2 linked regions of the Caenorhabditis elegans genome follow. The protein of the gene in region 1 interacts with the protein of each later gene in a biochemical or structural test. Each region holds a gene or a part of one and is shown on either strand. Other genes may lie near its edges. The genes, in order: lim-8 and pxl-1.

Evidence for each region.
Region 2: the proteins of lim-8 (region 1) and pxl-1 form a complex in vitro, tested with the Caenorhabditis elegans proteins (one study listed by BioGRID).

What each region holds. Positions count from the first base shown.
Region 1 is NC_003281.10:6,801,094-6,806,061, reverse strand, and holds the start of lim-8 (PDZ domain-containing protein), read right to left. Parts: upstream 3,275-4,968; 5' UTR 3,260-3,274; coding exon 3,236-3,259; intron 2,304-3,235; coding exon 2,251-2,303; intron 834-2,250; exon of another isoform or gene 629-833; intron 495-628; exon of another isoform or gene 422-494; intron 401-421; exon of another isoform or gene 371-400; coding exon 199-370; intron 152-198; coding exon 1-151.
Region 2 is NC_003281.10:5,889,940-5,897,887, reverse strand, and holds pxl-1 (Paxillin homolog 1), read left to right. Parts: upstream 1-1,876; 5' UTR 1,877-1,881; coding exon 1,882-1,927; intron 1,928-2,208; coding exon 2,209-2,338; intron 2,339-2,413; coding exon 2,414-2,502; intron 2,503-2,548; coding exon 2,549-2,642; intron 2,643-3,601; exon of another isoform or gene 3,602-3,659; coding exon of another isoform or gene 3,660-3,757; coding exon 3,758-3,809; intron 3,810-5,463; coding exon 5,464-5,610; intron 5,611-5,869; coding exon 5,870-6,043; intron 6,044-6,285; coding exon 6,286-6,381; intron 6,382-6,429; coding exon 6,430-6,564; intron 6,565-7,210; coding exon 7,211-7,489; 3' UTR 7,490-7,615; downstream 7,616-7,948. UniProt on the Caenorhabditis elegans protein: Required for myofilament organization of the pharyngeal sarcomeres and for pharyngeal muscle contractions and hence for pharyngeal pumping. Together with lin-8, might be required for myofilament organization in the body wall muscles.

The sequences.
Region 1 (4,968 bases):
GTTGATATGAAGTGTATTCCTCGCTTCTTCGGTGAATTGTAGTCTCCGGTACAGTAGTATCCGATGTGGCTCGATCTCCAAATTTTTCCTTTCTCTTCTTCCGCCAAGTATCCAAATTTTCTTGCCACGGTTCACAGTCGTCGAACTTTAGCTTAAAAATGTTTAAATTAGGATGTGGCTCTTCGGTAACTCACGTACCGTCTGTTTCTGTCCTTGTAACATTTTTTCTCGTTGAGCTTTCTGTTGTTGAGCCATTTGTAGTGTGCTTTTCGCAGATTCAGCCATTTCGTCGCCGCCTTTGTTGACGGCGACGAATTGGAAAGGATCCGAGGATTTCTGTCCCGGTCCTCGTAGCATTTTTGCTCCGGGTCTGCAAATTTCATTTACTAAGAAAATATAATTTTATGAAGCCAAAAAGTTTCGCTCCCGGGTGGGCTCGAACCACCAACCTTTCGGTTAACAGCCGAACGCGCTGCCTATTGCGCCACGGAAGCACGGAAAGTTCAGGTCAAAGAGGCCTATATTCGCTGTAGTTAGAATAGAGACGCAGATAGGGTATGTGCAATAGTTAATACACTGATCGAGTTTACAATGAGAGAGACCGCTATTAACTTCAAACCTAAACGCTAGATTATTTTTTAGAAATCGAATAAATTTTAAGAAAAATGAAAGGAAAAGCTTCTGACATGGGACATCTGATGTGAAGGCGTCAGAAGTCAAAACACAGAAAAAAGCGAAAAACAAGTGTCTCTTTTGGTAATTGATGTTTCTTTCCAGCTTTCGCGTCCCTTTTGCCTTACCAATAGCTAATTTCAGAGACCAGAAACCTTTTGCGGTGAAGAAAATCTGGGTTTCAAGAGGAATATAAAGTTATCAGAGAGAATAGAATTCGGGATAACTGTGAGCTTATTAAAAAAAAACATAGTACATTTTGGAAAACTATCGTAAAGTTCAATAGGTAATTCAGTCTTAAAAATAGTTTCGCGATCTATAGATAGCGTCTCAGGGAGAAGTGTTCAGAGAGTTGAGAGCAGCTACTACCGGAACCCGGTAAAACTTATTTTAAGACACATGGTAATTTTCGCAGTATCCGATATCTACTGGGTTATGTTATTTTTCATCGAAAACACAGTTAAATTAATCTAGTAGAGGAACCTGGGAACTGTTGGGTTGCTGTGAAACATCATTTCCACATTGAGACTGAAATATACAGAAAAAGTAGAAACTTGTAGAAACTTGCTCAAAGAGTTCATAAGACTAAAAAAGGGTTGATCAACAAAAAGAAAAACCGTAACAGTGCCCTTGACTCAAAAATCATGCCGAATATCTTCTCTCACTCTCATATATCCGGTCATTTATTGGCGGCTCACATGCTCTCATTCATTTGTTTATTTTCTCTCCATTGGCGAAACGAGACACAGTTAGAGATGGTCACTACGTTCTTTTTCCGAGACATAAGAAAATAATGAAGAGACTGAGAATATGCTACAATATCAAGAGAGTGCGTAATCGCCAATTTTCGCGCTTGCATGGTAAGTACAGAGAGCTTTGAGTACCCTCCTTTTTTGCTCCGACGCTTGGTTTTTTGGAAAGGCTAACGGTTTACACGTACCGGCAAACGCTCAAAGACAAAAGGAATGAAAAATGAACAGTCTAACTAGAACATTTTCTAGTGAATATATAAGAAAAGATTTTTTGTAAAACTGCAAAGGAAGTCCACGCCCAAATGAACTGGTCTAGAATATATGACTATTGTTTTTGTTTTAATAAAAATAAAATCCGTTTCAAAGAATCTTGATACTGTTTTTTCGAATAAAAACTTAAATTATAAATGTCTGAACATGATCCAAAATATATTTTTAACGTTTCAATGTAGTAGGCCCAGCCCAGCCACGGAGAAATGTCCTATTTTGCCTATATGCGTTGTTACTGCAAAGCTTTTGTTGAATTTCTTAATTGAAATGGGTAGTTAACGCTACAATACAGAAATTTTGAGGAATATGCTATGGTTAATGAAAAAGAATCTCAAAGAGAATGAGAAAAAAACAGACTAAGAAACCTGATTTTCAGAATATTAAAACCTATTTGCATACTTTGCCGCTTTCTTATATTACATCTACCCTTAGAACTTTTATAATGACATTGAAAATTCAAATAATTCACCTAATTAATCTTGTCACTCATAATTAAATGAACGATTTACATGATCATAAATGACAAAAAAATTATTGTGGTGAAAGTAAAACTCACCCAAATTCGTCTTCAGGATAATCAGATCCAAGATTTGGTGGATACTTGGCCACCTGAAAAATGTATTGAAATTATTCTGAATTTATGAAAAATAAATACAAAAAGTAAGTAGAAACGACAAGGTTATTGTGGCAGACATAAGTTAGGTAAACACGATAAAGTACATAATGAAGTTAATCACTTAAAATATCATTTTCGAGTATTAGAGGTGAAAGTGGGCGATTAATAACGTATTTTTTACAACTTAAAAGATAAAACTTTAAAACATGTTTTACGAGTATTATGTTATCATCATCTTGATTAAAAAATGATGATAAACTTTAAAATAACTAAATGCTTAACTGAAAAAGGAACGTAGTTTGATTATAAACGCAACTTTTGATTCAAAAATTTCAACTTTTTTATTCATTTCTCTTCCATCCTACTCATTTCAGAAATGAATCATATCACAGAAAAGGAACACTTTAACATATCATTTATGATAAAAATCGATCATAATACCAATCAAACACAAAAAAGTCTCCTGTTATCAGTTAGTTTTTGTGTGAAGACTGTGTGTTAAAAGGGGTGAGTATGTGAGCCCTCTTGAAATGTAAATATTAATATGCCCAACATTCTTGGGCATTTTTGAGGTTTTGGTTTGCGTGCAAGAAAACTAGGATGATATGGGACATTGGACAGTTTTGATTCTTCCTTTTTATAATTTCTAAATTTTTATTTTTTTTCAGTGTGCCAAATAAAATATGTTAATTTCCAAAATAATTTTCCAATAACCCCTTCTCAATCTAACAGTGAGTTTTAATTAACTTTTCTGTACTAAAAAATGTTTTCAGAGCTTTAACTGTTTTTTACAAACTTTTGCCCAGCAAAAATGCAAAGCTAGAATAACTAGAAAACACAGGAATACGTTGAACTATTTTGAAAATGAATTAGCCACAAAATGTTAATAAATATACAATGAAAAATTCAAACACTTTGAAAGTACCTTCACTGCGTAATCATTCTCCATCATCTTTACGACTTTCTGCAAATAATTGAAATGAAACAATAAAAAAGTCAAGTTACAAGAAGAACATCAAAAAAAGTAATCAATGTTTTTTCCAGAGAATCAAAATAGATTATCTGAAATTCAAATAGAACACAAACACGAGTAACAAAAATAGAAAAAGACCTCTGAGCAAACAGAAATAGCGTTTAACTTGTGGGAAATTTGATGACAGTTTACATTTCTTCAGAGAGGAAGAAAAATAGAAATCGACCACACATTTACAGAAAATTGACACCAAGACTTGAGATTTTGAGAAGAACGGAACCTATTACAATGGTCCATAACTTTGTTATCCAAATGTTCAATTAATAAAAAAGGTACCGAGAATTAAAACAAACTGTAAAAAAGTATGTTCAAAAGCGGTAAAGAAATCCACATCCAAAAATTCTCAAATTAATGTCACTACGGAAAGCATAAATTAAGGAAAATAAAATTCAATAAAATCGGTTTTGAAAATTTCGGGAGAAACCAGAATTGAAATGAATTTGACACGATAATTTGATAATCAGAGAACGAGAGTGAATCTGAAGAGAAAGTGGTCAGATCCTTTCGGAACAATATTCAAATTTATTTCTTCTTATTTCTGCGTATCCACAAGAAAAGCATAAAATTAATGTCTGCGTCTCTTCGTCTCGTACGCTCTATCATAAAATATACACAAAAGTCGGTAATATTGAAGAGATGAAAAGGAATGTCGGTCAAAAGATATTATGGATCAGTTATCAGATGGTGGTGATTTGGAGATAGTCTAAAAGCGGCAGAAGCCAGGGAAATTGAAACTTGGACAGGGAAATAAGGGCAAAGAATATAAATCTGAAGTTCGGAGAAGCTTTTAAAGGGAAATAGAAGACATTGAGAATAAAAAAAACCGAATATAATTATATAACAACAGTATCACAGCGCCATAAGAAGCCATGAATTCTGAAATAATGAAAAACAAGCAGTTCATCTCCAAAAATAGTTGATTCTCATAATATTTCCATCTTAAAAATTCCTCTCTAAAAAGAAACAACATGGTAGAATGTAGGGTAGACCCATTAATGGATTACATTTCTGCAGTGGCCCAATAAATTCATGTTTTTAAATTATTTTAATATGGTAGATTGACTTCAATTTGGTAGGCAAGGATGGACATTTGTGGAATGAAAACAAAGTTTTTTAGTTTTAAGAGAAGTATACTGAAACGTGTCTAGATCTGAACTTGTTAAAATAGCGCCTGATTTGATTGATGTTTTTGAAGTATTGAACCCAACGAACAATTGTTTTATGATTAGAACTCCTGGAACATATTCTCCAATGACCTATCAGAACGTACGATTACTGTAGGGAATAGCTTTTTTTTTCACTTTGACATGTAGATATGTAAATGAGAAAAATGAACGCAAAAGAATAGGAAAAAGCCAAAAATGCAGTAATATTACACGAAGGATCAGAAGAAGAAACAAGGTGGCGGAACGGTGTCGTCGTCAGACGTCTAATCCTTCATTCTTTTTCAACTGTGGTTTCTTCATAACGACACGCATATGTCTTCGTTCCGACAACTAGGTATCCATCCTTCTTACTCTTTTCCTTTTTCTTTTTCTTCTCCTCAAGAAAACACATTATGCAAATGGCGACCAGGTCGGTGTTGATTGCCCGAAACAGGTGTCCTGCTGTGTCCTGGGAGAAGG
Region 2 (7,948 bases), 910 kb from region 1:
TATAGAGCCACATTTTTAGAAACTGTATCATTTTTAGATCAACCGTCGTACTTACTATCTTACGGCAGCCGTTTAGTTACATTTCAATCGAATTCAATTCGAATTCCCTCAAGCCTGTGTACATCTCAATCTCTTCCTCCCGCTCATTCTTGATTCAAAAACAAAAACTTTGCCTCCATTTCTTCCCGCTCTTTTCTATGTGTCGTTTATGTGTCTGTCTCTGTATCTCTTTAACTTTCACACTATTTCCTTTTATCGTCTATCTCTTCTCTTTTTTGAAGAAACTCCTAAAGATTAAGGGCCAAGATCATGAAGAATTCCCATGTTCCATTTTCTAGTTTTTCCTTAAATCAAATAATATTCTGGTAAAATAATAGTTTCAAGAAGTTTCAAGAACTTCCAAACAACTTTCACAATATACCGTAGAAATTCATAAAAGTTTTGACATTTCTCATTTTTCATGCATGATTGGCATGTTCCTTTAGTACTCGATCCGGTTTCACAACACCGTTTAAAATGTGATCTATTCAAACGGAATATGTGATTTCAATGTATCTCTTGTCATAGGGAGACTTCTGCTACTTGGCCGAGAAAAGGGATACCTCGGTCATCGCTTTCTTTGGCGGTCATGTTGCTAATAATTTATTTAGATTTTCCAAAAATTTTTTTTTTCGAAAAAGAGAGATTGGATTACTAGATTGGATTACTGATTTGACTTTCAAGGTTTTTTTAAATATTTCCTCGTTATCGATCCCTTTTCCAAGTACCAATTATTTCCAGCAACCTGGATTATTTTCTAATTAAATTTCAATTCAATTAGCAAAAACATGTACTAGGAATATGTGTAATTGAAAAAACTCTTAACGAACTGAATTGCATAAAACCATTCCTATATGTTGCTAAAATGTCCTAATATCATAGAAAACGGTTCAAATGTTTTTTTAAAATAGTGTAGTCAAAAAGTGGCTAGTTCTCACCTTCTTAATTTTGGAATTCTACAAAAAAGTTTTTTTTTCACAATTTTAAATTTGAACCAAAATTATCTTAACACTTTTTCACAATTAAACTAAGTTTTCCTATTGATCAAGCTTTAACTAATATCAAAATGATCATTCCTATTCTGAGAAGCAAATTAATCAAATTAAAATATATGGAAAGTAGACATATCTACATTAAAAAATTTTTTATGGGAAAATAGACACTTCTAATTTAAATTTTTTTAATGAAAAGTAGACACTTCTACTTTAAAAATTTGAGAGGTGAAGTGTCTACTTACTATTAGACATCCTTTTCAATATTTTAAAAACTTAGGCTACTGGATTATTTTCTGAGGATTCCTCATCAAACTGTAATTTTTATAAATAAAAATTTGTATTTTTGTTATCCAGATGCTATTCTTTTTTCAATGTTTTGTACTTCTTTTATGTCATCTCCATAAATCTTTTTTCCTTCTCCTCCTCTTTCTTTCTTCCTTTTTTCTTTTTTTTTGTCGGCTTCTTCATCGTTTTTTGTCTTCTTCCTCCCACTTTTTTCCACTCACTCACACATATTTTGACACATTCTCTCACATTTTTAGTGGTCCCCATACACATGCATACACACTCATCTATTATTGCACTTTTCCTTCTTTTATACACCCTCATTGGTACCGTTTTTTACTATTTTGAACATCTTGTTGTAAATTCGATCAATTGATAATTTGTTGATTTTCCGAAACTTGACTAAGCCGTCGGGTTGCATTCTGAGGTTCTGAAATAACTGAATTTTGGACTTTTTATAAAATCCAATTACATTATAACTTCTAATAAAGCTCTTTCGTCCGCCTTTTAATTGTTTTTTTCTTGATTTTCTCCTGAACATTTTTTGAATATTTCAGTAAGAATGCCAAGCGACGATCGTTTTGCGGATGCGGTTAAACCAGCTTTAGGTACCCAAGAACTTTCTAATGGAGGCTTTCCGGTGGAGAAATGCTCCCAGTAGTAGTCGTAGTACTAGTTTGGAAATTATGAGTTTTTTGATTAATGGGAAACTTATTAATATTTGGATGGAATTATCATAATTTTGAAAATTTATATGATTTTCATACTTGATAGTTTTCAATAATAAAATTCTTAAAAAGTGGGTTTTCACTTTTCAATTTGAAACATTGAAGAGTTCAAATTCTGTAATTGAAACAAAAAATAAATAAATATATTATTTTAATTTCAGAAGCCCTTCTATCGGATCTTCAACACACCACAGAAGTGCTCCGCCGTGCTCATATAAGTGATCGCCGCTCACAGAGTCGTGATGATTTTGAGCAATCCTATGATCTTCAGGGAAATCTTAACACACAGAGGTTAGTTTTTTTTTAATGTTACAAACCTTTCCATACATGTTTTAACATAAACTAAACATCTAATATTTGTGTCAGTGTGAGCAATGGAAATATAACCACTTCACCCTACAAACGTCGTTCGTCAGAAGGAAAAGATTATTCAAAAAGTCAGGAAAGGATTTATGGTTTGTTTTTCATGTAAAGAACATTAATATGTAATTGTATCTGTAGAAAATGAATCAAGACTTAACCCACCAGTCTATTCACGTCCAAGTGTCCAAAGTCTATTGTCTCAAGTCGAAGAACCACCAATTCGAGCAAGCAGGTAGGAGAAAACGTTTTTTGTTTTTTTGAAAACATTTTTATCTTCGGAGTCATATTTTGAAATTCGTGGCCTAGAAAAACCTTTTAAAAAGCTATACTATGAGTCAATTTAAATATTAATTTCAAATCTTCTGATTTAATAATTTCAAGAATCTTGCGATTAGGATTCTTAAAAGGAAAAATTTAAAAAATTTTGATTGGCACTTTCAAAAAAATCTGTAAAACATTAACATCTTACATCTGAGAATGCGAAAATATAAATCAATGGCCTAGAACACACAAAAAATGTTAGACCAACAATTCAGAATTTAGAATTCTATTAGGCATTTTAATTCGAAAATTCATAATTTTTTGTAGCCTAGAAAGTTCACTTAAGGCCTCGACATTTTTATAAGATTTGTTGAAAATTGTTAATTTTTATATCAACATTTTTTGTGCATCTTCAAAAAAATTGAAAACTTATGTATATCACGAAAATTGGTTCAGATATATATTTTTTTAATTTCTAAAAGCTTTCCAGACAACAAAAGAAAAATGGCCTTTAAGTTCCAAAAATAGCTCCGAAAATAAAAATGTTGAAAATATAAAACTAGAAAATTCCGATTTGAAATGGTCAAGCCCGTTTATCAAAATGCCAACTCCGTGTTCCATTTTCCCGCCGGCTCTTAGGTCATTTCCCGTGTTTCTGCGTCTAAAATCCCGGGAACAAACAAAAACTCAAATGTGAAGGGAAGAACGAGAAAAAAGACTAATAACATACACGCATATTACTTCTACTCGTCTCATCCCGTGTCGCAAATCATCTCTTCTTCCCCGGTACAGAGGAGGAGCCGGTTATTTTATTTTTCACTGAGTTTCTTCGTCTTGCTCAGTATCTCTTGAGCTCAACAGGGGTAAAATGCTGTAGGGCGGGAGAGTACCTACTCTCTATCAAGTGAGAAAGAAAAATATAGAGAAAAGGAGCAGCACACCTTTTTCTTTTCCACGCACACAACACTTTTACCTATCACTTGGCGGAATGATGCGCGAGTTGCAACAACGGCTTGACCATTTCAATGGTCCAAATTATGCACAAAATAGTCATTCAAACCACCAACAACATCATTCGGTTTATAGCTCACGCAAGAGTCTCGGACCACCAAGTCAGGCACAATCCTACTCTGATGTCGTAAGTTTTTATTTCTTTTCGGGGGGAGCTTCTGGGAAGGGAAACTGAAATGTTTTCGTTGGGAGACCTTAATTAAAAATGTCCTTAAATTAGAATTTTCAAAATCCCAGAATCTTCATTAAACTTTCCCAATCTCTACAAATCTAATTCCGGATATTTCTGTGTTCACAAATTTTAAAACCTAATTTACTGATCCTGAACGATATGTATTCAACTTAGACGCAAACTTTATGAATTTGTAGTTTTTCCTATTTTGGTCACATGACTACAAAGTAGAAAATTCGGTCATTCTTTTAAAATAAAGGTTTCTTGAAATTTTTGGGACTTTTTGAAATAAAAATAATTTCAAAATGTTTTTTGAAATATTCAATTTACTGTCAAAAATTGGCAATTACTCGGGTTTTGCCACTGGTAATTCAAGAAATCCACCAGAATATTATTTAATTTTTGTTCAATTGTTCTAAGTTGACCATTTCTTGACAAAACTTTCAAAAATCTCAAGAAAAAATGTAGAGTGTTTAAATATGGTATTAGGTCATGATGGACTATTACTAGTATGGTTTATCAAAATCCACAATTCTTTCACTTAAACGTCATTGCTCCAATTTGAAAGATCATAAAAGATTTGGCAACATTTCACAACATAGTCTCCTCATTTAATTTGAATACATTGCTCATCTTGCTTGTTTTGTAGGATTCCATTAATCCCAAATGCAAGCGTATCCCCATAAAATTCAGATGCTCCACTACTTCCTCTGCTTCTTCTTTTCCCTTATTTTCATGTTCTGAGAGCAACTATTTGTCTCCCTCGTTTTCGTCACATTTTTCAAAAACTTTTCAGTTTCATATTTTACAACATAGTAAAAGGAGAGGAAGCAACAAAAAAAAAACGAAAAGTGGAGCGAAATTTCTGTTTGTAAAACCTTCTTTTATTGCCGCGTGGCTCTTTCTTTTACGTGGAAACACGTGCTAGAGAGTATGTGAGAAGAAGAGACACAGACGAGCTCCACGAGCAAACAGTACGGGGGGCTTCTAGAGGTTGAAGCGGGGGTGTAAATGAAGGTGAAACGATGGGAATAGAGAAAGGGAGATATTGTTAGCTTTTCCTTGGTTTTTGATGAGAAACCTTTTGGAATGAGGTCATATGGAACGATTTTTAGTGTATTTTGATGACTATTTGGGAAGGGGATCTAAATTTCGAAATTACAAAGTTCGGGTTTACAGAGGATAAATAAAAACATAGGGAAAATACTTCCATACCCCGCTATCAAAAACAGAATGACCTCGCTAAAAATACGCCGCGGCAATTTTACTAATTTTTCACAGAAAGTTTCCAAAAGCATTCTAGAAATGGATTTGTATACTTTTGTGTGGTCTAAAAGATCATTACGTAAATTAGAAAATAAAAATTACCCCGTTTTTTTGGCATATTGCACCTTTTCTGTTGCCACTTACCAATGTTCAGTCATTTTTCATTTTATTAGTTTTTCAGCTTACTTTCCGACAAAAACCTTTTTCCATTAACTATAAGTAAATATGCCAATTCCAACAAAACATACACACACAAACATAAATTTGTCATAATGGTCTCGCAACGAATGAAAACACACATTTCCAATCGTTGCCCATATACATAAAAACGTGGAACTTATAGAGATCGAACGGTCGGTCTCCATCAAGAGACCCACTGCATTCGGATTCAATGATTGGAACAATGAATGGAGAATTGAGCTCAAAACATGGAGTCAATACAATTCCAAAAGGAGATTGTGCTGCCTGTGGAAAACCGATTATTGGACAGGTGAGCGTTTTAATAAAACAATTCTAGAATATGTGAAAAGTTCTAGGATTTATTAATTTCGCTGTGTATTACTGTTTGGCATCCTGAAATTTAATTCTGATTAACTGTGACGTAGGACAGTTCAAAATAATGTTCTCGCGGTATTTAGTTAAACTACGAGACTCTAGAAATTTCCTCAGAATAGTTTTAAAAAGAATTATTAAATTTCAACTTTGGAATGTCCAGAAAATCAAATTTGAAAAATAAAACCATTTTTCAGGTCGTCATTGCTCTTGGCAAAATGTGGCATCCGGAGCATTACACTTGCTGTGAATGCGGTGCCGAACTTGGACAACGCCCATTCTTTGAGAGAAATGGACGTGCTTTTTGTGAAGAAGATTATCACAATCAATTCAGTCCAAAGTGCCAAGGATGTCATCGAGCCATCACTGATGTAAGTGACGTTACAAAATTCTTAGTCATAAATATTTGGTACAATTGGATAATAGTGAATACAGAATATTGTGCATGATTTGTAGTATTTCCAGTTTTGAATGTACAACGAAAAACGCCGATTAGTGGAGTTTTGCAAAAATTAATGTGGACACAAGTTTAATAGTGTTTTTTTTTGTTAATCATCTTGAATATATTTTCATGAAATAAAAATGATTAGAGAAACAAAATTTAAGTTTCCAGAGATGTGTGAGTGTAATGAACAAGAACTTCCACATTGAATGCTTCACGTGTGCAGAATGCAATCAACCATTCGGAGAGGATGGATTCCATGAGAAGGTTGGTTAAAAAAATCCGTTTGAAAAGCCTTTCAGTTTACACTTTCAGAATGGACAAACCTATTGCAAACGTGACTTCTTCCGTCTATTCGCCCCAAAATGCAATGGCTGCTCTCAACCAATCACCTCAAACTTTATCACCGCTTTGGGAACTCATTGGCATCCGGATTGTTTTGTCTGTCAGGTATTTTTAGTTCATTATCATTTGTTAAACAAGGAAGTCAATTCAAAAATTAAAGAAACCATCGAAAACCGATTGTGCGGTATGTTTCTTGTCGGTGTCTCTCTATTCGTCTATTCGTTTCGTTTTTTTTTTCTTACCCCTTTTTATTTTTAATGAGTGGAGCAAATTGGCTTGTGTGAAGTGCCAGAAAATATTATAATGAGAGGCTTTTCGTTGATAGTATGCTGCAGTGATAGAGTTTTGTGGTTTTTTTAATAGTAACATTTGAAGTTAAAAAAATAAAACTATATAAAACTAACTATAAGTGTTAGGTTTATATATTTTTAATTTTGAGCCAACTGACTGAGTTCACATGGGACCTATAAAATGTGCAAATTTACAAGTTTGATTGAACCTTCCAAAACTTCATATTAATAAAAACCTTGACCCCTAATATATTTTATAATACCATTAAAAAAGATGTTTCGGTTTTTCGGTTTATTGTATCTTTCCTTACCTAGTCGATATAGACATAATTAAGCATGAAATATTTTAGAATTATTCCTTTAGCTGTAGTCAATAGTTTTATTTTTGGAATAAAATATTATTTTTATTTTGGTGTGTCATCTGTAAACTTCCCTAAATATATGTGGATTGTTCTTTACAGCATTGCGGAGTTTCTTTCAATGGTGCAAGTTTCTTTGAGCACAACGGTGCTCCACTCTGTGAGCGACATTATCATGAATCTCGTGGTTCAATCTGTTCTCAATGTCGTGGAGCCATTAATGGAAGATGTGTAGCTGCAATGGGAAGAAAGTTCCATCCGGAACATTTTAGATGCTCATATTGTAATCATCAACTGACAAAAGGAACATTCAAAGAAGTTGATCGTCGGCCATTCTGTCATAAGTGTTATAATAATACGTATGCATTGACTCCTGCCTAATCTTTTTTTTTCTCTTTTTTGTCTCTCCTGTCTTTTTGTGGTTTTTCAAGTTTTTTGAAGGTGGTAACTGGAAAAGATAATTCAGTAATAGTTTAGAATATTAGGCTTGGATGAAATCGAATATAATATTTTTCTCTTTGAGATTTTCTAGTTCTCTAATGCCATACTTTTCAAAAATTTAAGTGTCAGCTAGCCTAAATCCATAGACTTCAGCTTGACATACAGGATTAAGCCTAAGCCTAAACCTATACCTTAACTTAAATTCCAGTCTACTCAATTCAAAAACCTTCCACCTTACCACACGTCCATTGTATAAAATATGAAAAAAAAAAGTAAATCAATTTTCAAAAAAAAACCAAAATTTTTATTAAAATTTCTACGCATTTCAAAATCAAAATTTCCTCCCCACCGCCATATCAAACTTTTCCCCCAGTCACTTTTTTTCTCAACTTTTAATTG